3 linked regions of the Tamandua tetradactyla genome follow. The protein of the gene in region 2 interacts with the protein of the main gene of each other region in a pairwise test. Links are inferred from orthologs where the notes say so. Each region holds a gene or a part of one and is shown on either strand. Other genes may lie near its edges. The genes, in order: LARP1B, KIF2A and FAM13C.

Evidence for each region.
Region 1: the proteins of KIF2A (region 2) and LARP1B interact in binary tests that used the Homo sapiens proteins (3 or more experiments, as listed by UniProt). The two-hybrid records come from large-scale screens. The link is inferred for Tamandua tetradactyla from reciprocal best matches to the Homo sapiens genes KIF2A and LARP1B.
Region 3: the proteins of KIF2A (region 2) and FAM13C interact in binary tests that used the Homo sapiens proteins (3 or more experiments, as listed by UniProt). The two-hybrid records come from large-scale screens. The link is inferred for Tamandua tetradactyla from reciprocal best matches to the Homo sapiens genes KIF2A and FAM13C.

The regions. Positions count from the first base shown.
Region 1 is NC_135348.1:40,333,332-40,341,127, forward strand, and holds the start of LARP1B (la-related protein 1B), read right to left. Parts: upstream 3,189-7,796; 5' UTR 3,130-3,188; intron 2,489-3,129; exon of another isoform or gene 2,347-2,488; intron 1-2,346.
Region 2 is NC_135335.1:109,443,696-109,451,674, forward strand, and holds the start of KIF2A (kinesin-like protein KIF2A), read left to right. Parts: upstream 1-4,568; 5' UTR 4,569-4,727; coding exon 4,728-4,791; intron 4,792-7,979. UniProt on the Homo sapiens protein: Plus end-directed microtubule-dependent motor required for normal brain development. May regulate microtubule dynamics during axonal growth. Required for normal progression through mitosis. Required for normal congress of chromosomes at the metaphase plate.
Region 3 is NC_135339.1:37,932,161-37,940,103, forward strand, and holds the start of FAM13C (protein FAM13C), read left to right. Parts: upstream 1-4,449; 5' UTR 4,450-4,554; coding exon 4,555-4,616; intron 4,617-7,137; exon of another isoform or gene 7,138-7,275; intron 7,276-7,943.

The sequences.
Region 1 (7,796 bases), on a different chromosome or scaffold from region 2:
GAAGTCCTTTTTGGTCCCCTGCCTGAATTAGGACAGCAGACACCATGGCAGGCCTCTTGGGTGGGCCACACTTTGGCTAAAGGGAAGACCAAAGTGGTCTTATCTGGATCAGCAAAGACAGCAATACAACCGCCAGTGCAATCACCCTAAAAGTAGAAGAAAATCTTTTCACAAGGACTGAAGAAGCAAGAATCTGTCTTGCTTATTTATGCAGGTTCTAAAATAGAGATTATTCATGATTTATACCCTGAAATAGATCCCCGTGTTTCCTGTATTATTTCTACCTCTGGTAATAAACTTCCTGACAAAATTTTGTGGGTGGAATTCCTTTACTTTACCCTAAGAGTAAAAACATGCAATTTGGCCAGAACAGTACTGGCTTAAATTTGTTATCAGAGTATAATGAATAGTGCCCCCTATCCCTCTCTAGAGTATCCTAGTTTTAGGATAATTTATATGGACATGCTACTAATAGGTTACTGTACAAATTGGACACTTCCTGCTTTACACCTACTCAGAACCTAAAGGACCTCTGTTCCCATTTCATTAGTTCTGAAAGCTGCAAGTTTGCTTAGGAAAATCGGAAGCCAAAGGTGCCCATGTTATAATTTTAGATGCCACTCTGGTATGGAAGTGGAGTCCACCCACTTTCATTCGAGGCCCAGAAGGCTTGTCAGAAGTCAACTAGCTAGTTAGGAAGAAATACTTTGGACTACCAAATCTCTCAGAACAATGCATATTTACACCACAATCTCTTATCTGAGTTATCTAAGTTATTCAACTGCAAATTTGTCCAGGCAGAAAAGTCAGCTTGGAGAGACTATAAAGCTACAGCCCTCCAGGCCTGCAGAACGATATTCCTGCAGGAGCAAATTAGACTTCCAAAGACACAAAGAATTGCCTACAGGCAAACATCAGCAAAATCAACACTCCTACAGAACCACACCACCTTCAGGCATCACATTGTTCTTAATCCCTACCGCAGACCACCAAAGAAGTACAGGTAAAATTAATCACACAAGGCTGAAAGAATATTTTTAACAAAGTCGTATCCACTTAAAATCTCTAGTTTCAAATCTGTCAAATTGACTTTACAATCAACACAAGGCATTCAATCTTCGGTAGGTCACAGAATATAATAGATAATTATGTTTAAATCTAGATATAACAGGAAGGTGAGAAACAGCCAATAAGATGAATTACTAGGGCTTTCCTTCCAACTAAATTTTTTTGGAGATCTTCCTTAAGAGTGTTCTCTTCAGTGAGGGACAGGAATTAACAAATCTCTGCAGTTAGGAGAGAATATGGCAGTATTACATTAGGCACAAATTTTAAGTACTTTTTTCTTCAAGTGTCTCAAGAATTATCAAGAATTAATGACCAGTAGGATTTCTGCGGAAAAGATAAAAAAACTCAATTAACTCAAGAAGTTCCTCTTAAGAACATACCGTATCTTTTATTTCATTTGATCCCCACAACTCTGTAAACACGCTTATTTTTTTTCCATCCCACTGTTAGTCTTTAACTTGAAGAAGGCTCGCAATAAGTAGTTGCAATTTCTACATAAAAATTCAATTAGTTTATTGCAAGCTAAGTTATAAAACAAACCAAAACTCTGGTCTTAGTTTTTCCCATTTTAACTCAATAAAACCGTAGTTGCTAGAACCAAAATGAAGAGCCTCGGGCCATATTGCATTGATCAGCACTCCAAATGAAGGGGCATAATCTCATTTTCACTATTTAAGAGAGCTGTTAGAAAACCACCATTTAAGAGAGCTGTTAGAAAACCACCATTCACCTAACGTGCAATCCACTCTCACGTCAACTAACCTAACTGCAATTTTTCCACCATATCCACAACTCAAAGCTTTTTAACAGGAGCTGCAGTATCCCCCCTTTTAATATGGCTACTCAGCGCGTCGAAAACATTGGGCTTTTTCAGCTCTTCAGTATTCCACAATAAGGTGACAACTGCGGTTCCACCGACGAATAGATTCGCTTGCTCCGACTCGGTTCTGCCTTTTTACAAAGTCCGCACAAACTTTTCCCTAGATGAACTGCAGCGTCTTCCTAAAGTTAGCTCCTTTCCCAAGCCACGCGCACGTGGGAAGCAAACACACCCCAGGCCGCGCCAGGCGGGCCACGCGCCCGCTTGACCCCCTCCGTACCCCGCCAGCCGAGAAGAACCTCGGGTCCCACCTCTACCAGCAGCTCCCTCCGAGATGTCCATTTATGTAAATATGCACTACGAATGACACCTTGGAACCAAATCCCTCCACAGACCGGCCAAGGAGGCCTGCCCCTCCCCCAGCCCCCTGCCCGTGCCCCCCCAGGGGAGCCACAGACCTGCCTCCTGGGTGTCCAGCGCGGGCGGCAGCGGCCCGAACCCGGCGGGGGACAGGTGCTGGGGAGGCTTTCTGGTCCAGGGGTTTTCCTTAGGCGGCGGCGGGAGCGCCTGCAGCTTCTCGGGGCTCGCCGCCGCCGCCTCCTCCCGGGCGTCCTCCGCCGGCGAGTCCCGCGGTGGCCGGGGCAGGGGCGGCGGCGGCTCCCCGCTGGAGGGGCGGCCGGGCCCGCGTGCCTTGTGCGCCAGGTGCAGTGCCAGGGGCCGCACGGGCACGGCCGCCTGGGGCACGCTGTGTCCCAGCACAGGCGCCGGCGACGGCTCTCCCCGCGCCCCTGCGCTGCCGGCCGCCTCCTGGCCCTCTCGGTCGGCCGGGAGCGTCTGCTCCGGCGGCCGGCTCGCCGAGGCCGACAGCGAGTCCCTCTCAGCGGCCCTCACGGGCGGCTCCTCCCGAGGGTGCGCGGTGGGCATCGGGGCGCGGTAAGACATCGTCCCCTTTCCCCAGCCGCCGCAGCCCGGGAGCGCCCGGGGCCAAGGAGCCCGGCTGCCCGTGTCTCTGACGCGATACCGGCCGGCTCCGGCCTGAGGCAGAGAACCCGACAGCCCGGCCGCCGTCGCCGCCGCCACCCTCGCCCGCGTCGCCCGAGGCCGTGCAGCGCCCGGCGCGCCGCCCCTCCCCGCCGCGAACGGAGCGCTAACCGCCCGCCGGCGCGGCCCGCCTGGGCGGCGTGAGCCCCGAGGCCGCCGACGCGCGCCGGGCACCGCAGCGGGGAGCCGCGAGCCCTCACCTAGCGCGGGCGGCGGCTGAGGCGCGGCGAGCCGGCCGGGACGAGCACCTCAGGCCGGGCGACAGGGGCGCGCGCCGCCGAAGCCGGTAACCGCGCGCGGGGCGTGGAAGAGCGCGACCCGGGAGGACGGACGGGGGCGGGGCTTCCCGGCGGGAGCGTGACGTGGCCTCGCCCGGCCGCCGCCCGCGGCCGCTGACTGACAGCCCCGCGGCCCGCCGAGGGGCGGGAGGAGCGTCCCAGAGACCGCCGCGGGGTGCGGGCGGGCGGCGGGGTGCGTCCCGGGCCTTGGGGCTCGCGTCTGGCCGCGCACGTGGCCAGGCCGCGGCGGCCCGGGGTTCCCCAGGCGGAGCCGGGCAGAGGCGGGGCGGCCCGCTGCCCACCCCGGGCGACGCCTCGGCGGTGCCGACCGAGCCGGCCTGCCGTCGCCGGGCAGTGCCCCGCGGAAGTTCCCCTGGCGCTTCGGGCGCGGCGGCCGCCGATAACCCTGAGGCAAGGCAGAAAAGAAAGCGGTGCTGCGCGTGGGTGACTTGAAACCTTTGCCCGGACACTTGTTTTAGTGCCCTTCCCCGCCCCGTTGCCCACCCACGAATGCAGAGGTGTTTTTTTTTTTTGTTAAGTGCGCTTGAGTAAAACCAATAGTTAATATTTCGCCGGCGTTTTTAATTTGAGGAGATAACCCATGGTTACCAATTAACTACTCCAAATTTTTTTTCCTGGAATGGGTATGCAAAAATAGTACAAATATGTTTTGAAAAAAGTTCCGATAAGAGCTTTTTACTTGCTCAGAATCAAGTAGTAATCAAACTGATTTCATGTGCGCGTGTTTGTGAGTCCGGGGCCGGGGCCGGGCCGGGCGCAAAGATATTTTTGTGGCTGAGGGCTCGCCCCCCACCCCTTGCCCCAGGCCCCCAGTCCCCCAGTCCTCCCCGATTTCCCTTAGAATGGTCAAGGCAGGCATGTAATTAGTACATGACACCCTTCCCATCGATCATGCTCTAACTAAATTAAACTCGAGATTAATTTTTAATTTACTCATAAACTGCACTAGGGAAAAGCTACTTGTTTTCCTAAAACCAGTAAATAATCCATACATTACAACAGCTATAAGGCTTTTCTTGTTTTCAGTAATCTCCTGTCCCTAACCAACCTGGGGAACCTGTTTCCTATTAAATAGGGATTGTCCGTCCACATGTATTCGCAGAGAGACCGCCGTCTTTGCCAGCTCTGCGAAGCTTTATTTTTAACTACCATCTAGCTGCTTTTCCTGCTAGAATCAAACCTCTGGAGTCCTGCCAGTTAATGCTTGCCTCTCTTAAGATAGCCTATCGACAGATTCACTTTCGCTGTGACTCAGAGAACACGTTGTAATTTACCGTCCGTTTAAATACATGTGGATTTAACCCTCATTCGTTTGAGAAAAGGGCTCTGTGGAATGGTTTTCCAAAGCTTGATTTTGTATGGGCCTTGTAACCATGCTTGGTTCTTTTCTTTGTTGTTTTTAGGTGAGACGTCATACATGTCATCGATCGTGGCGATGTCAGCACAACAGTGGAAATTAAAACTACTGAAGTATATACTTGACGGTGGGTTAGAATGGCAAATGCTATGTTGTACATATTACCACAATGAATTAAAAAGAAAATCATACAGGGGCCTTCTCAAGTAAAGGAGCTTTACTGAAGGAAAAACTCCTTCAGGGGAACTTTCTTGGAAACAGGTTTTAGTTGCAAGGAGAGAAGATCTGGAGGGTGATTGTAAACTCAAAAGAGTTCTAGAGAACTCTAGGTTTCTTCACTGTAGTGCAGTGCTACTAACATCAATCAGCTACACTACCGAGTCTGCTACTAGTTGGTCCTCTTTAAAATGCATCCTAATAACGCCTGCTTCCACATAACAGCCTCTTGCAAACAACTTCACCTGTCTTCTGTTTGCCCTGTGTATTTCTCTCCACCCTTCTGCTCTTGTGCCAGGGAGGCCTGACCTTGCAGATCCCTAAAGGACTTCCTCACCTTCCGTGGTATGAGGATGGGTTCAGTAGAGGAAGAGTTCAGCGGGAGATTGGAAGCCAGAGGAGAGTAAGGTCATAGTCTTCATTGCCCCAGCTGGGTCCTGGGTTGACTGCAGTGCCCACTTTATTAATCTCCAATTTCCCTTTGCTCCCCAGGCCTCGGAGTAATAACCACCATCCTTATCTTGTTACCTTATCTCTGTTGGTTTCCCTGACTCTTGCCCACACCTCTGTAAATGGTCCTTTATTAACTCTCCTCAAATAACCCAGTTTGAGTTTTCCTCTTTTTTGCTACCCATTTGCCATTGCTGAACCTCCATTCTCTAACCTCATTCTACCTCGGCTGCTTACTGCCAGATTCTTTCTCTGCTGCTCAATTCACATTCAAGGAAGAAAGACTGATTGGCTCACTTTTGTTTCTTTCAAGGCAGATTAGGCAAATCATTAGCCAATCTCTGGATTATCTGCCCTTGGGTAGTTTACTCTCCGGGCCTAGAGGAACAGGTTATTTGGTTCAAAACACAGCCATAACTCATTGGGATGCGGAGGAGTGCTAGTTTCCTATAGGTATCTGTGACAGTGACCTTAATTACATTTTATTTTATTTTTCCCTATCTTAGTGAATGGCACCACACATAAAGCTGAAAAGCGAGCGATGCCTAGGACTCGGCCTTTCTCCGTTTAGGCCTGTTTGATAAAGTTGTGAGGATTACATGAGATAATATGTGTAAAATGCTTACCACAGTCATTAGCTTAGTGCTAGCTATTTTTATTGCTTTTAAATCCATAGATTTAGCCAGCATAAGACAACTTCATTTTACAGAACTACTGAGGTTAAAAGCCTGCTTTGTTTTTTGGCTTTTGTTGTTGTTGCTGCTGTTGTCGTAAAAGAGAACTTGAATCTAGAGCGCAGGTATAGATTTATCTTTTCGAAGGAAGAAGAATGGTTCTCTAGGCCCTCAGAGGTTATGAAACACTCTCCTTATACAAACTTGATCACATTGTTCAAGTGAGCCTTTAAAATATTAATCCTGTTTTTCCTGTTTAGAGTATGTTAATGAATCATGAGATGAATAAACCCGCCCTTCTCCCTCCCCAGGTGTCTCAAGGAAATTGAAGTCCCTTGCGAACAACGTACTGCTTTTTATTACCAATACCAGAGATTTATTTTCAGGCTTGTAAAAAATCCAATGTGCAAATAGTTGTATTGGATGCTAGAGAAGTTTCAAAGAATGCATTAGATATAATCTGTTTCAGAGACCTACAGTCTAACAAGAAAATAAAACTGAACCCAGGAATTTATAACTTCCTATAAAAAGTAAGTTTTAAGGAGAGCTTTGGATTTTTTTTCTAAAGATATACTGACTGTCTTTGCTCCCAAGATTCAGAGCCTTGGGCCCTGTTTCTCATAATAATAGCTTCTATTTTGTACTAAATGTTCAGATAAATACTAAATACTATTATTTCTAACCTTCAAAGCAGGGTTAGTGCTAATGCAAGTCTGAAACCCTCCCCCCATAATTTCCATTTGACCCCGCCCCCTGTTGAATACAATAACTATAATTCGAAAGTACAACTGACATTCAATTTTATATAAAGTGGGAATAAATGCACTTTTAGAAATTTTTGTTTGTTCATTTGTTTTACTGACCTGTAGCATACAAACAAAAATGTAAAACACTTTGCTTCCTATGTAAACCTAGCTTCAATTCTAGGCTGTCTGCCCACCTGATTTCTCTCCTAAACCCCTCGTAAGTAGGGAATTGTGTAGAGCTCTTTACTTTTAGGTAGGTTCTAATAGATCAGTTTTATAGAAGGAACTCAGCCAGTATAGCAGGGTTAGGTACTGAGACTCAAGTCTTCCTTTTCTGCCACACTGTTTAACCTTTGCTGTACTAAAACTTGTAATAGCACAATGATAATAACATTTAATCTTTTAAAAAAGTACTGGAATAATATACTGTAAGGTCAAAGAAACATGGCTTTTTCTCTCTTCAAAGAACCTGGATTTTTAAATAAGAGTAGGAGAGGAAGACAGTAACCTTTTCTAATTCTTCCTGCTATCCAGTTATATGTAATATTAGCATTGTCTTATGAAAACTGGTATGACAAAATTGAGGTCTTTAAATTCAAGTTCATATGAACTTCAGTAGCTGACATCAAAAAATAAACTTTCATAAAATTTTAAAAAAAGAAAAAAATAATAAGCTTTGTAGAAAAACTGAGGGAAACTTTTTATTCGTTTCTTACATATTTCATTAATAATAGAGAGGGCTGTGTGTTGGTAACTGGGCAAGGCTGTAGCCAGTCCCTACGACTCCTGCCTGCAGGGAACTTACACAGAGAAGTAGATACTAGCACAGTGGCTTTCACACTTCATGACTTGCTATATATTATTGAACCCAAAGTTTTATACAACAGTACTTATCCTTACTATACATAATACGTTCTGATGTGCTCTATCCCATCGTAATACGTTCTGATGTGCTCTATTCCATTTCTCTCTATGTATATATATATATATAATATATATATATATATAACATATATATATTACATATATATATATTACATATATATGTAAAGCTCCAATTTGACCCAGCTACAGATTGTAACCTACGGTTTTTTAAAAAATGACAGTGGTTAAGCTTAAACTAGA
Region 2 (7,979 bases):
GGCTAAAAAAAATTTCTGCCAGCCCCATCCATTTTTCCACTTGATTACAGACCCATGAACTTTGTGGACTTAATTCAGGATAGATCCAAAAATTGAATGGAAAAATTTCAATTTAGAATATATAGACAAGGACAGATAATGAGATAGGGTTGGAGTTAAATTACATCTCTGCTCTTCATTGAGTAGGTTATTGGTTAAATTGAGTGCCAGCCCCAGCCTCAAATCTCATTAGCTTAATGGCCTATTCCCCTGGACTAACTATGTAAGGTTTATGTACTAATGACCCCAAAGGAAAAAGAAATCTGGGCATATAAAGATTGGATGGGTTACAATAAAGTGAATGGTTTATCAATTAAAAATTGATAAAATAAGCCAACAGCAGCCATAGGACATGACCTGATGGAAATGGTCCTTGAACAAGACTATTCTATCAGTGAAGAGTAGGATAGAATAGATTGGGTAAAGATACAGGCAGATTAGTAAAGTTCTTGCTCTCTTCTTGATATGAGGTGATAAGGGTCAGAGGTCAAATTGATAATTGTTAATCAAAAAAAATTTTTTTAATTAATTAAAAAAATTAATTTCAAAGTACATTTTAATAAGTACTTACAAAACAAACTTCAAAGTATGGCATGGGTTACAGTTCTACAATTTCAGATATTTCCTTCTTCCTGCTCTAATATACTGGAAACTGAAAAGAAATATCAATATAAAGATTCAGTAGTCATACTTGTTTGTTAAATCCTATCTGTTCTATTACAACTCCTCCCTCTCATTTGATCCTTCTCTCAATCTTTAGGAATATTTGGGCAATGATCATTCTAATTTCATGTTGAGAAGGGATACTGACATCATGGGGTAGGGGGATGCAAGTGGTTGACGTTCTTGGAGAAACTGGTACCTATGGATTTCAGAGTGTTCTAGTTTGTTAGCTGCCAGGATGCAATATACCAGAAATGGAATGGCTTTCAAAAGGGGGACTTTAGTAAGTTGCTAGTTTACAGTTTAAAGGCCAAGAAAATGTTCCAATTAAAGCTAGTCTATAAAGTGTCCAAATTAAGGCACCAACAAGAGGTTACCTTCACTCAAGAAAGGCCAATGAAGTTCAGGGTTTCTCTCTCAACTGGAAAGTCACATGGAGGTCATGGTGATGTCTGCTAGCTTCCTCTCCAGTCCTCTTGCTTCGTGAAGCTCCTCGGGGGTGTTCTCCTTCATCTCCAAAGGTCACTGGCTGGGGGACTCTGTGGCTCTCTCATCATTCTAAAAAATGACTGTCTCCAAAATGCTTCCTCTTTTAAAGGATTCCAGCAAACTAATCAAGACCCTCGTGGAACGGGTGGAGTCACATCTCCCCCTAATCAAAGGTTAATACCCACAACTGGGTATGTCACATCTCTGTAGAGATAACCTAATCAAGTTTCCAACTTACATTACTGAATAGGAATTAAAAGAGATGGCTATTTCCACAAGATTGATTGGGATCAAAACATGGCTTTTCTAAAGCATATAAATCCTTTCAAACCAGCACACAGGGTTTCTCTGGCATAGGAACAGTTTAGAAGTTTTACGTTTCTGAAAAATAAACTGAGTGAAACTATTATAGAGTCTCACATAGAGCCTTGGGTATTCTTTAGGGTTTTCAGGAATACTGTTTGGTTAGGGCTTGGTATACTATGACAATTTGTAACATCTAGCTAAAGCTTGCATAAGAATAACCTCCAAAAGAGCTTCTCCATTCTATTTGAAATCTCTTAGCCACTGCAACCTTATTTTATTACATTTCTTTCCCCTTTTTTTTGTCAAGAAGGCAATAATTGTTAATTTTATATCACTGGATATAAAATTGTAATAACGATTTGAGGATTGTAGTAGAGTACTGGACTATTTCCTATAGGATGTTGTTCCAGTTTGCCTGGTGCTGGAATGCAACACACCAGAGACGGATTGGCTTTTAATAAAAGAGGATTTATTTTGTTAATTCTTCAGAGGAAAGGCAGTTAACTTTCCACTGAGGTTCTTTCTTACGTGGAAGGCACAGGATGGTCTCTGCTGGTCTTCTCTCCAAGCCCCTGGGTTCCAACAACTTTCCATGGGATGACTTCTTTCTGCATCTCCAAAGGCCTGGGCTGAGCTGTGAGTACTGAGATGAGGAATGTCCAGCTGCTTAGGCTGTGCTACATTGCGTTCTCTCATTTAAGCACCAGCCAATTAAGTTAAATGTCACTCATTGTAGCAGACACGCCTCCTAGCCCACTGCAGATGTAATTAGCAACAAGTACCATTGGCTTATGTCCGCAGCAACAAAACTAGGTATGCTCACCTGGCCAAGTTGACAAATGAATCTAACTAACACGGATGTATTACTTCATTTTTACCTTATATTATACTTAATAAATACCAAAGCATGATCACATTTTACTTTCATTTGACTCTCACAAAAACTTTGACAGAATGGAAGTTATTAATACAGGTTGATCAAAGAGGTAAGTAACTCAGATGTAAGCAGTTTACTAAATTAACTCATTGAGTTCCTACTGTGTGCCAGGCAGTAATCTATTTAGGGTTGTATATCTTGTTAATGTCTGAGCCAGAGTCAGAATTTTTGATCCAGGGTCATTGAGGGAAAGAGGCACATTGCATTCCTTTATGGCTGCTCTTCAGGGGGCCATATATTAAACCCTATTAAACCCATGCAAGTTTTGGTAAATACATGTGCTGCAGCGTACCAAAAACATAAGCTTTTAAGTATGATTATAAAGGAAAGATTTTCATGTTTGTTTACCTTGGGCACATAGCAAATCTCATACATTTTTATGGATGAGGATGATGTATATATTTTTAAATACCTTCATTTATGGTTGAAAGCCTACCCATAGGAAGTAAAGTATGTGTCAGCAACCATGTATAAAGCATAATATTTTATGAAACAATTTTAAGTTTAATAGCTGTACAGCTTGATTACTTTGCATTCTTTAAATAATTTGCAAGCAAATAGATGCTTTATACTTCACTCATATAGACATCAGAGCATGAGTTATACTAGACATGAGCTAAAAAAAAGTTCAGATAAAACCTAACTTAAAAAAAAGTAAAAATGGGACCTTGATTTGATCAAACCCTATTCTGAAAGAGGTCTGAAACGTACCTCTGTTTTCCAAAAATAATGGAATATTTGGAATATATAAGCAAGAATTAGTTTCTTCATGGTCTACTCAGAGTTTATTTTATAGAAAAAAATTTTGCCTATTTTAGAATGGATATGTGACTTTCTTCTTTTGACAAGAATACCTCCAATATGTTCAAGTCCTTAAACAAATTTTCTTAGGATCAACTTGCTTTGATTTATTATTGAAAACTCTAGGTGCACACATACATGCATATATGTACTTGCACACATATAACCAGATCCCAGTTTTTGAATTTTGAAATTATATTTTTAATGGTTATTGCAGGGAGATTAACGAAGATTGGGGAAAAAGTAGGGCAGAAAAAGTGTGTTTTCTTCACAAGTCCCAATACTAGGAGCAAAAGTCATGCTTTTGGAGGATTTTACACGGTGCTATAAACACGGTTTCCATGATCCCGGTTCACATTGCCTTCTTGCTCTTTCAGGATGGAGAGTCTTGCCTTCTATGTTGCTGATGTGGTCAAACTAGTCAAGTGACTCCGCAGAAAAGGATCGTTCCTTAGTCAACCTGATGTGTCTGCCCTCTGTCCTTGAGTCACAGCCGTTGGCTCTGCAGTCCAGGGCCATAAGTCTTGAACCTTGAGCAGAGCCAGGACACCAGCATCTGACGCATCATAAACGGAAGAGTCAAAGTAGCTCCTCTGCAGGGTTTCTTTGTTGAGCAGCGATGAGCTAAGAGGCAAGGCCATGAAAAAAGAGAATATTCATTCCGGGTCTTAGGGTGTGTGGCACTTTATAGGTGTTTCTTTCCATCTTTCAGAACGAGATGGGAAACCTGAGGAGGGCTACTTGGGCTAGCCACCTCCAAGTGGCAAATAGTGATGACACCATCAGATAAATCACCAAGCACGTGCTGTCAATGGCCTGTCGCTAAATTCACATGCCTTAGCCCCGCGCGCCATCCGGAAAGCCCTGAAACTAAGGGCTCTTCATCCATTCTGGCAGCATCGCCAATTCGTGGGAGCCAGAGTAACAGGAAGAGACCCGCGCGCGGGTCCCCGCCTCTTCTAGGCCGCGCGCTGAAATCAAACGCGACGCCGACTCGTGACGGAAACGCCCGTGCACTCCGGTCCTCTGGGGAACTAAGACTCCGCCGCCGCCCGCCAGATCCAGCCCGCCGTCGCGGTACTGGGCGGGGCCGCCTTGAGGCAGCACCGAAAGGGGAGCGGAGGAGGAGGAGATGCCGGAGGCGCGCTCTGCGCAGGCGCGCGGCGCCCCGCCCCCCTCCCCCCGGCGTCTGCTCCCCGGCCGGCGGCGCGGGCCCTCCCACTCTCCCCGCGCCGCCTCACGGCCCGGCCCCGGCCCTCGCTTCACCCCGACGCCCCGGCGTGCGCGTCTTCCCGCCGGCCTGCAGGCCGGGCACCTCCGCCCGCTTCCCCGCCGCTGCTCCTCGCGGCCCCGGATCGCGTTCACGCTGTCGCCCGGGCCGGCGCGGCCGCGGGCAACCGCTCCCCCTCCCACACCTACCCCGCCCCCTCCCCGCCTTTTCCGCCCTCCTGTCCCCCTCCCTCGGCCGGCTGCCGCTGCTCCCGATGAGGTGATGGCAACGGCCAACTTCGGCAAGATCCAGATCGGGATTTACGTGGAGATCAAGCGGAGCGATGGTGAGGCGCGCTGCGGGCCCAGCCGGCCCTGCCCGGCGTTGGGGTTTCCGAGACGCGGACGCGGGCGCGGGCTGCCTCATGGATCGCGGTGCCGGGCGGTGGGGGCAGGCAGGCGCGGGCCGCGGCGCTTTTGTGTGTGGCGAGTGTGCGGGTGTGCGGGTGTGCGGTGAGGACGGCGGTGGGCTCGGCCCCCGGCGGCCGCTGCGGGGTGGGGGTGGGGAGGCTCCCTGAGGAGGGCGTGGGGGCTCGGGGGCCGCGGGTCGGCGCGATGGAGGGTCTCGGGGCAGAGCCAGCAGGCGGCCCCTTGGCTTCTGCGGCCATCTCCATCCTCCCGGCGGTTCCGTCCTGGGAGGGAACGGGCTTGGTTAGGGATGACCGTGCCGCCCGTTTCCCCCTGTCTTTGCGTTTTACCGGCCATACATCTGACGGGGGGTGGCGGGGAGCACTAGGGATTTCAGCTTTTCGGGAACCGACTCCTGGTCCGGAGGCCGAGCTGGGGGGTGGTCAGGACCGTTGGTGGTTGTCAGGCCTCTTCGGCTCTCGTTTCTGGACCATGTTTCTTTTTTTTGTGAGTCTTTTCCTCCGAGAAGAATGTGGAGAAGATCTTGCTCGGCCCCATGACCGGGGTGGGGGAGCAGTGGGAAGGAGAGGGGAGCACACAGTCCCTGCGAGGGTGGGGGTGGGCGACCGGATGTTGATATTTTCACACCCGAGGAGGAGGTAACTGAGAGAAAAGTGGAAGGGAACGTGAAGACACATGCCTTATTTATTTTTTTTTAAAGCCTCAGGCTTACATATCTTTCTGTAGATTCCTCTTGGGGAAAATGTCGTTCATTAGCTTCGAGTGAAGCGTGAGTTGTGCCAGCCAGATTTGAAAATAATGTATATTGTAAGGGAGGAAATACCTGGAGGGAGATAGGTAAATTTTTTTTTTTTTTCAGTTTGAATATTGAAGGGACTACGGGTGTGCATGCAGGGGTGTGCGGTTTCTCTGCCTATCTATACCCATTTTTTAAATTTGTAGTTCATTTATTTTCACTTAGCCTAGTCAGTAGGAGCATTGCTGTCTCAACCACATTCTCTTGGTATCTACCAAGTTTGACCGAGTTATGTGAAGCTAGATTGAATTTTATCTATGTATCAGAAGACTGTGTAGCTAATGATTTTTTTCCTTTATCATGTTCGAGATAATCTGTCTCAGCAACTGGAAGAATCATTGTCCTGTGTGTGAAAAGATAAATTATACCATGTGGAACATTGGCAGTTACTAATAACACTAGTGAGAAAGAGATGTCTGCTTTACTTGGGTTGGCATTTCTTTATATTTTCTCTTGAAACTACTTTCCTGATAACAGTGTTGTTAATGTAATTTCTTAATTAGGTGAATATCAGTTTCCTGTATACTAGCAAAAGTAGGATTTACATATTATGTTTTAAATTTTGGGTGCAATACATTCGTTGACTGTTTACGTTCTTATAAGCCTTTAATTATGACTGTGTGTCAGATGTAAAATCTGTTATCAGAAGAAAGTAGAATTCCTATTACAGTCAAGAGGGTGGTGCATTTTTCAAGGTTTTTTTTTTTTTCTGGGCTGACATTTTTTATTTAGATGTATTGGGCTTGAAGTAATTTTGATTCTTTTGGACTTTTAGGACAGAGGCTTTTAGCTCCTTCCCTACTTCAGCTTATATCAGAAATTCCAAGAAATATGAGACCTTTGTGTTTTTACATATGTGCTAGTAAACTAAAATTATGCTTAAAAAGCAGCTTTCTCATAGTAATTGTAAAGGGTTTACTTACAAGGTATATTATCCTAAGTTATAGCTATGTAATACTGTGCATATTTATGGTGCTCAGATGTGAAATGGAGTTGGTGGAAGACAACAGATAGAGATCTTGTGAAGAAGGGAATGATTATTCCCATTAGATGGTTGTATTTCTCAATAGGAATTGATTTCTTAGAGACGCCTCTCAATTTTTTCCTTTTTCACTTTAAAGAAGCTGTTTCGCTTCCTCCCACTACTTCAGCAGATCAGTATTGGATAAAACATAATGGTTATTGTAACAAAAATAAGCTTTGTAGTTGGATGAGCCCTAATTTAATACTTGAGACAATGGAAATCACATGTGTGAAGAAGGGCTGCTTGAGACTGCTATTAACTGGTGACTAGATGTTTTTCTGCATGCTTGCTGATAATGCTTGTCTCGGTTTCAGACCATGCTTTTTTCATCAGTAGTGCTCATATATTAATAAAACATATTCCAAGGACAAACAGGGAAACCAAGATGGGCTTATTCCTGTCTTTCAAGATTTTGCTCAAAAATTAATCTGAATAAGTCTTAACTGATTCCTAAAACTAGATGGGCATTCTTCCCTTGGATTTTCTAAGTCACTCTGTATCTCTCACGAGACAGCATTTTCTTAAGTATTAATATTTGGGCACCGTTCTCTTAATATTATATTTTCAGACTGTACTAAAGGAAGAGATGGTATGGAGAATGCAATAGAGGGATGGTAGGTAATCCTACAAAGTGCCAAGGTATTTATTATAGCATTAAGATACTTACCTGAATTCGCTTTTGTATCTCCTTTGTGCCTAGCAGAGTTCCTTGAATATTTTAACTTTTTATTTGGAAATAGTAAATATAGGACAGTTGCAAAAATAATACAAACCTCATGTAGAGAACTTGAACATATTGCCAAGGCCCTCCGCATACCCAGATCTGTCAGTTTTAACATTTTGCTGCTCTAGTCATATCATTCTGTCTATCCATCTATATCTTCTGAACATTTGAGAACAAGTTGCACACATTATAATCCTAGAACATAATACTCCCATATTCATATCCATGACCTAGAATATTCACTTATGTAATCAACTTTAGTCCAGTTATCGAGTTAGCGAGTTTACATTCTATATTCCAACTTTTTCTTATGTCCCAATAATGTTCTTTTGAGCATTTTTTCCTCCATTGTTAGATCCTGTCCAGTAGTACATACGTATTACATTTAATTGTCATTATCTCTTTAGTTTATGTTTTCTTTTAATTGTGGAAACATACTTCATAAATCTTCCCATCCCAGTTCCTTCCAAGCATACCATTCAGTGGGATTAATCGCATTTACAGTGTTGCAATACCCTCACCACTATCTGTTACTAGAACTTTCCTTTCATCCCAAAGAGAA
Region 3 (7,943 bases), on a different chromosome or scaffold from region 2:
CCAATATGCATTGGATAATTATAATACACATTTTTTCAAAAATTTACTTTTGACTATGTAACTCTTTTCTGTTTCTTTTCCTGGACCATATGGGAATCTATAATTCCACCAAGGATACTTTGAGAAACGCCATTCTAGAAGTTATGTCTACAAAAAGAGAAATGTTAGTTTTTCTGCTTCTCGTTTTGAACTGTCCTTGAACTGAGTTTAGTCAAACTGAGGATCTCCAAAATAATCAGATGTTGTATGAATTATAGGGAAGGTTAGTATAAGACTGTTAGGTTAGGTTTGTAATTGGTTAGCATCCTACAGTATGATAAGACTACAGACTTTGAAGTTATCTTTTCTTCTGGACAGACTGGACAAAATTTGCAAGTTATCATCAGTATTGACCTATTCTTAATTGAATAGTGTAGCATATATAAGCTAATGAATGACAAGCCAGTATAGACCATTTCTAAGCCTGATTTAAGATGAAAAGAAATAATGCTGTAAGAACTAGTTTAGAAATACAGATTATAAGTTTTACACTGCCAAATTACAAGTTGGTTGGTTTGTTTCTGGGGCACTTGTGTTTTTAACCATAATCAACTATATCTATAAATTGTTTTGATTATGAGTATTACTTAAAACTTAATTTTGTTCCATATTATTCTTGAGTTGATAAGAATTCTTACTTCTTCTCTGTGGACATTTATTGGATACCTGAATTTATTGAATTCAATTGTTATTTCATGTTATTTTCAAAGGATCCTCATTACAGTGAGAAAAGTCTGACCTTTCTCTGCAGTAGAGTATTTGTAGTCAGTATCATAGCCAATTAGTGAAAGGGGTTTTGGAAAACTGGCAACCTTTGAAGCAGTAGAATCGAGAAGGCTGAGTGTAGACATATTCTTATCAGTCTCAATAAAATAGAAAGAACCTCAATTTATAATAATTTTATTTATTATATAAAGTTATTTATAATTCACTTATAAATAATGAAGACAAATTTATAGTGAAGAGGTCGTTTCTTAGCACTCTTGAACCCAGCTTATATGAGATAGTGGGTGGTTTTGGAGCATGTATGTATACACACACACACACACACACACACACACACACACACACCTTATATTTAAACATCTGAGGGTCGGATACCTCTAAGCTTATGTGAGTCCATGAAGTTCTAGTCTAAGACCATATTAGGCTTTTATTCAAAAGCTTTTAAAAATATTCGGAGAAAGGAAAGTAAAATTGCAAAGGACCTTAATGAAACCTGTTTTTCTTTGAACACCCAATTTGGGTTTGTCAAAGTATAATTTTAAAAAGATAAAAACATGAGTCTTGTAATACTTGGAAATATCCTAGAGTATATTAAGCAGATAATCAAAAAGTATTGGCAAAGTCCCCTCAGGGAAGGGAGAAAGAGTATGAAACTATTAAACCTTACCATCAGGGAATCCCCTGATACTGTGTCAAACTTTAGGGACACCCAGATCAATAGGCCATGTCCTCAATCATGAGGCTTACTCTTGTGAAGCTTATGTAGGTACTGGAGAAGCTTAGATTACCTATAGGCATGCCTAAGAGTTACTTCTGGAGGACCTCTGTTGTTGCTCAGATGTGGCTCAGTCTCTCTAAACCCAGCTCTGCAAGTGAAATCATTGCCCTCCCCCTGACGTGGAACATGACATCCAGGGGTGATGGTCTCCCTGGCGATGTGGGAGATGACTCCCAGGGAAGAATCCAAGTCTGGCACAGTGGGATCAACTATTCCATCCTGACCAAATGGGGGAAAAGAAGTGTAATTAATAAAGTATCAGTGGTAGAGAGAGTTCAAATAGAACCAAGAGGCTACTCTGGAGGTTACTCTTATGCAAGCTTCAGGTTACCTATCATAACCTGCCAACCCCCAACCAGGACCATTCCAGCCAATCCTAAAGAACACCTAGGACAATATATAAGATTCCACAAGGGTTCCATGTACTCGAGTAACTTTCCAGAAACCTACAACCTCCAGATGGGTCTCTACTCTAGATAAGTTCTGAAACCTAGAGGAGAGAGCCTCTCCAGAACATCAGATAGTTCCATCTCCCTACCCCATATTAGTGCCAGACCCTTCCAATATGAAAATTTAGAATTGCCATAGCCCAAGCACCCCTAAAGAGAGGGACTGAAAGATCAAAGGTGATGGTGGAGTTACACATAGAAGATAGGATTTAACAAATGAATATGAATGCTGAATCATTAAATTGATATCTCTTTTAGTCTCCAATATTTTAGAGCAGCTAGAAGTAAAAGCCTAAAATTGAAATTGTAACCTATGTCAATGTCTGAAATATGTTCTACAACTAATTGTGGTGCTGTGCTTTGAAATTTATAGCTTTTTGGTATATATATTTATTTTTCACAAAAAAAGGAAAAAAATGTCGATTGTGATAAAAAAAAGTATTTACGCCCTTTAGCCTCCTATATTCTGGAGCAGCTAGAAGGAAAAATATGAGAGGATCGTATGGTAGCCCATGACAAACTCTGGGCTCTGGTCTGTAACCACTCGTTTAAGAGTGCTTTGAAAATTATTGCTTTTTAATTTTTTTGCTTTGTATATATGGTATACCATACAATAAAAAAAAAGTTAAAAAAAATGAGCCAAAAGCATAAGAGAACAATGAATATGCCAATCAACTGTATTGTTGAAAGCCTGACTATTAAGTTAATGAGAGACAGTGAATTTCCATGATGGAATTTGTGGTGGGCTGGCATTCTGATGCTATATGTATAGTTGTCTCTGGGTGTCACTCCACTAGGGGGGTGTTGATACTGAATAACCTCTAGATTTAGAAGTTATCAGTGCTGCTTGTTCCTGCTCTGTTATAACAGCTTATATGTATGAATAAAAAAATAAAGAAATAAAATGCCATAAAAAATCATGACTCTCATAAAAATGTAGGTCAGGTGTCAAAGATCTATTAACTCATTAATGAGGAAACCTGTAAGGTTGTCAAGCTGGCTCTAAAAGAGCACTTTTGAGGATCTGAGTAGTTATAGGCATTTTAAAAGAAGGTTATTATAACATTGTTAGGTTCGATTCAAAATTGGTTAGCATCCTACAGTGCAACAAAACAACAGACTTTGAAGTTATCTTTTCTTCCGGACAGACTGGACAAAATTTGTAAGTTAACATGTAACTTCACAGTGTCTGAGATTTAATCACTAGTGAATAAAATGAAACACAAGTACGTTCTCCTAGAGAATTAACAAATACTTGAATACATCTATTAAACAGTGCTTAGTTTCATGACACTGAAAGGTCATACTTCTCCCCTTATTTCCAGGTTTTGGGTAATTTTTCTAATTATCCCAAAATAAAAATTTATGGGTGTTTTTGGTGATGAATTAACTCACTGATACAACTAGTTTAGATTAAAAACCACCATCTCAGCTGATTTTGGGAGAAGAGAGATTAAAAAAGGAGGGAAGGGAAGAAGAGGAGTAGGCTGTTTTTAATTCAAAACTTAAAATAAGCATCTGGCACAGATGAGCACTCCTTCCATACCAAGGCCAACGTGGCAAGAAAAATGACCAGGAAAAGAGGGCAGGACAACCATTCTCGGGGGAATGAAGGGAGTGGGGGCTGATAACCTTCCCCTCCCCCAACAAAGCTGCCTTTATTCAAAGGAGGAACTTTCGTTGGTTTGATTTCTCCATCCATTGTAAAGGTGCCTGTGGATAGAACTCAGGTGACTTGCTCCTGGGAGAAGCAAGTCCCACCCCTTGCACGGGTCCTAGTCACCTGCTAGTGCCTGGAAAAAATTTCTCCACGCGCCCTACGTGGGCTCATTCACAGCTCTGTGGTCCGTTGCCGGGGCGCTTCCTTTTAGGAACTGAAATAGCTGTGCAGACAGATCGAGTGTGATGCAGAGAGCCCTCTTTCAGAGCTCTTCTTTTCCTTGGCAATAAAAAAAAAAACAGTACACAATAAAACAATTAGAAAAAAAAAAACCCACGAAAGCAATGTCCCTCTCCCCCTTCTCGTCCCCTCCCTGCTTTTCTTGACGATGAATCTCTGTGAGCCTCCGACCCTAGGTAGAGCAGCTCAGTAAAATTGGTAGGAGACGTCTGGAAGAAGGCAAGTCTCCTGGGTCTCTCAGCACCTGGACAAAAAAAAAAAAAAAAAAAAAAAAAAGCAGTCGGGCACTCCTATTCCCAAGCCTCAGAGTGGCTGGCAGCAGAAAGGCCTGAATTAAACCCAGCGCCTGGGCTCGCGAGGCCGGGGTCGCGCGGGAACTCCAGGTGCTCCTCCTGGGGGCCCGGGGGTCCCGTGGTGCTTGTCCCGCCACGCGAGCTCCCCGGCTCGCTTCCCACCGCCTCGCGGGCTGCCGGGCTTTGCGGTTCGCCGGTGCGGCTGGGCCCCTGCTGGGGGTGTCGTTGCGAGCATGTGCAGACAGCAGCCCAAGGTAGAGCGAGCGCGCCGGGCAAGCCCTGAGACTTGCTTTGCAATGCCATGTTTGTGTATGTGCTCTAACTCCCCGAGAGCAATCAGGGAGACGGCTCCCCCGCCGGACTTAGCTGATGTTTTCTTGTTTCTGTTTCAGCCTTCAGGATAATTCCTTCGGCAGCACCGCTGTGACAGAGTAAGTGATTCTTGGCATTAAAATAAGACTTGCATGCTTTTCTCTGGAAGCAGCTACTATCTTGAAGGTACGGTCCCCAACTGCTCGTCGTATTAGATGCATTGTCTCTCTGTAATCTGGAGCTGAGAAGATCGCGAGACGTGCTGACTGATGGGGCCCAGAAATCTTAATAGGTTAAAATCAGCCTTTTAACAGCTGCGAGAGAGATATTAAAATCAGCTGAATGCATGCGGGAGCTAAATGCTCCAAAATATGTGTTCTTGGAGCTAACATTTAAAAAAATCTATTTGACATGTTAGAAAGGAAGCTTTGTTATATTTTGCCAACATCGGTGTCAGGTTTCATGGAGTGCACACTGTATACATTAACAAATAGGAGATGGATGTGAAATTACTTGAACTGAATGCAGGCATGTGATAAACAGGCTAAACTTATCTTCACCATCTCTTGTCTCCAGATTTTTAAGACTACAGCAGAGTAAACTTTTCTTGTATGTCCTTTGTCTTTTTTGTTTTCTGATCTAAAGACCCGAATATAGGGATAATGACTAATCTGACCCTACAGTAAAAGCTATTGATTAGGGCAACTAGCACCGTTTAAGCCTGGGATGAAGGAGTGTAATGTTCTACAAAATACCAGCAGGCGCAGTATTATTTTTATTGAATATTTATAGCTCATTGCTAATTCTCATAATTGCTTCCTTAATATATTTTATTGCATTTACTATAATATACATTAAAATTAATATGTAGTGTGTTTTACTAATAGTGCATGTAGTTTATATATAGTTTATATATGTGTATATGTATGTATGTGATGTATATACTACATCTAGCAATCTGTCTCTAGACTAACTCAGGATGTTTACTTCTGGGACCTTTTTGTAGAAGTCACTCTAAACAGCTTTTCAGGAAAAGGGCATATATAGGTTTGTATACTCAGCTACATTTAAGAACAAAATAAATGCTGCATTTAACACAGAAAGCCCAAATAGGTTGGAAGCTGTTTGTTTAAGTTCTTTGGAAGACTAATAAATAGAATTTGAATGTCAAGTCCTATCACTGCCACTTGGGGATGGAAGGCCAAAATCCTACAGTGCTTCCCAGTCCTTCTAGTTCCCCACATTCTTTTGTTTCTCTGTTTGGATGTGCTGTTCTCTTAGTGTTCAGCTTTGAGCTCATTGGAATGGAATCAATTTTTAAAAAACAGTATTGACTTTAGAAGATGCAATGCAAAATACTCATTTGGGCCTGCATCCTATTAATGATATTGCTTGGTAACCTGTGCTGCAACTTTGGTTTTTTAAAAGTCTGAGAAAGGAAGAGGGATGCGTGCCAAGGAAGGCAGGCAACGAAAGCCGAGGCCTTCCTGGTTCAGGTGCACAGGTGCTGCCCTCATGCCTTTGCTGGGCTTATAGGCACCAAATACTTCCTGGGCCTGATTCTCGAGAGCCCTGTGTGGCCAAATTCCCCCACTCAGCCCCTATGTAGGCATAGCACCCTCAAAATGGAGACGCTTAGTTCCAGATTTTACATGGCAATATTGTTTTTCTTAAAAGTTTTGCAGTTAAATGCTGGGAAGGTCTGGTACCTTGTCTTTGGACACACCCCAAGGAGTTCTGATTGCATAAGATCATGTTGTTACTTTCAGAAAAGTGACAGTGATTTATTTTAAAATGCACTGAGTGACAATTGGAATGCCATCTGGCTAATTTACAAAACCTAAAGTGCATATTTAAAACATAACAAAAGCTTCATGTGTGCTACCAAACACAGACCAGGGTCATTTTAAAACTAGCTTTTGACTCATATAACAGTTTCTCCTTCCTACTTTCCTCCGCTACACGAACATTTTTTTCTTCGATCCCTGAACTTGACCAGCTGGGCCAGGGTGCACAATACTGAGACATAAGCATAGCAGGTGCTCAGTAAATATTCCGGTAAGGTCTTCACATAGGCAGAGCAGATACCTTCCTCTCTTATATTTTGGATACCAAGAAAACATCCTCTTTCTCCTGCCTCCAACCCCAACCCTAAAATTCAGGCATTTATTTTCTTTAGTGCCTGAGATTCCACCTAGAGATGATTTCTTTTGGATTAAGGCCTCTGGTGGTGAACCCTTATTAAAATGGAAATTTAAAAATATGTGCTCCTGGGAGGGGGATCCAAGTTGTCATTAATACTTTAATATGAATTACTCTATCAGTTATTCCCTGCTAGGCAGGGGTCTTAAAAGACTCCTAGGGAAGTGGAATTGGGAGGGATTCTAGGACAGATTTTATTCACTTCTAGATTTCTCCAGGCCTGGCACTGTCTGTGCAGCTCTGCACCAGTTCCATTTCTTTTTCTACCCAATTCTTCCGAGATTGGAATGGCCTTGCCTTTTCCTTCTGTGTCCACTTTTATCCATTACTTTTCCATAGTCATTTCAGATGTTGCTCTGGCTAACCTGCAATTTGAAATGAAGCCTAGAATGCAGTGAATTCTGATTGGTTACCCTCTGTTTCAGCGGTTCTCATACCCAACTCATCGTCATACTCAACAGGGGAGAAGGGACTTGTGGAGAATTCAGTTTCCAGGCTTTCTCCTAAAGTGGGAACTCAGATAGGAGATTGTGTTGGAGTCAGCCAAGCCCTGGACTGGCTTTTGGAAACTTTTAGGTCAGTATTAAACTTTTTAGAAACATACTCATTATGTGGGAAGAGGGGCTGCCTGGTTTAAAAAGTTAAGTTCCTGGGCCCCACCCTCAGAGAGTTGATCTAGTAGGGGTGGGGCTAGGGATGCCGTGCAGGCAGTGCTAATGCAGATGGTTCTAGGGTCACATTTGGAGAACGCCATGATGCTTCGGGCTGAACAGAAGTCCCATTCTCGTGCTGAAGAACTACATTCTTCTGATAAGCTGTCCGAGGCCTCTCTTTTTATTTGTTCTAAGTTGGAAAAGGGAACCTCCCAGGGTGCTTCTTTCACCATCATTATTCTAAGAAATCAGTAGTCCTCTCTCAGTTTATTAAGCCCCGTACTATGAGCCCTGGGGGAAATAGATGAGGAGAATAGTTGGTTCCCGCTTTTCTGGACTCAATGTGATGGAGCAGAAATGACCCCGACAGTTGGAATCCAGGACGATTCCTTCCTTGTGTGAAGGTGGTTCCTACCTCAAAATATTGTCAGGCTTAAACGAGATAATATGAGAAAGAAGGTGAGCTGTGAAGCACCATATAATTTTTCGTTGTTGTGGGGTGATAAAGGGACTAAAAGTCAGAATATAGATGAAAGTACCATCTTTGAGCATTTCACAGAGAAATGAATGCAAGGCCTGGGCAAGCAAAAA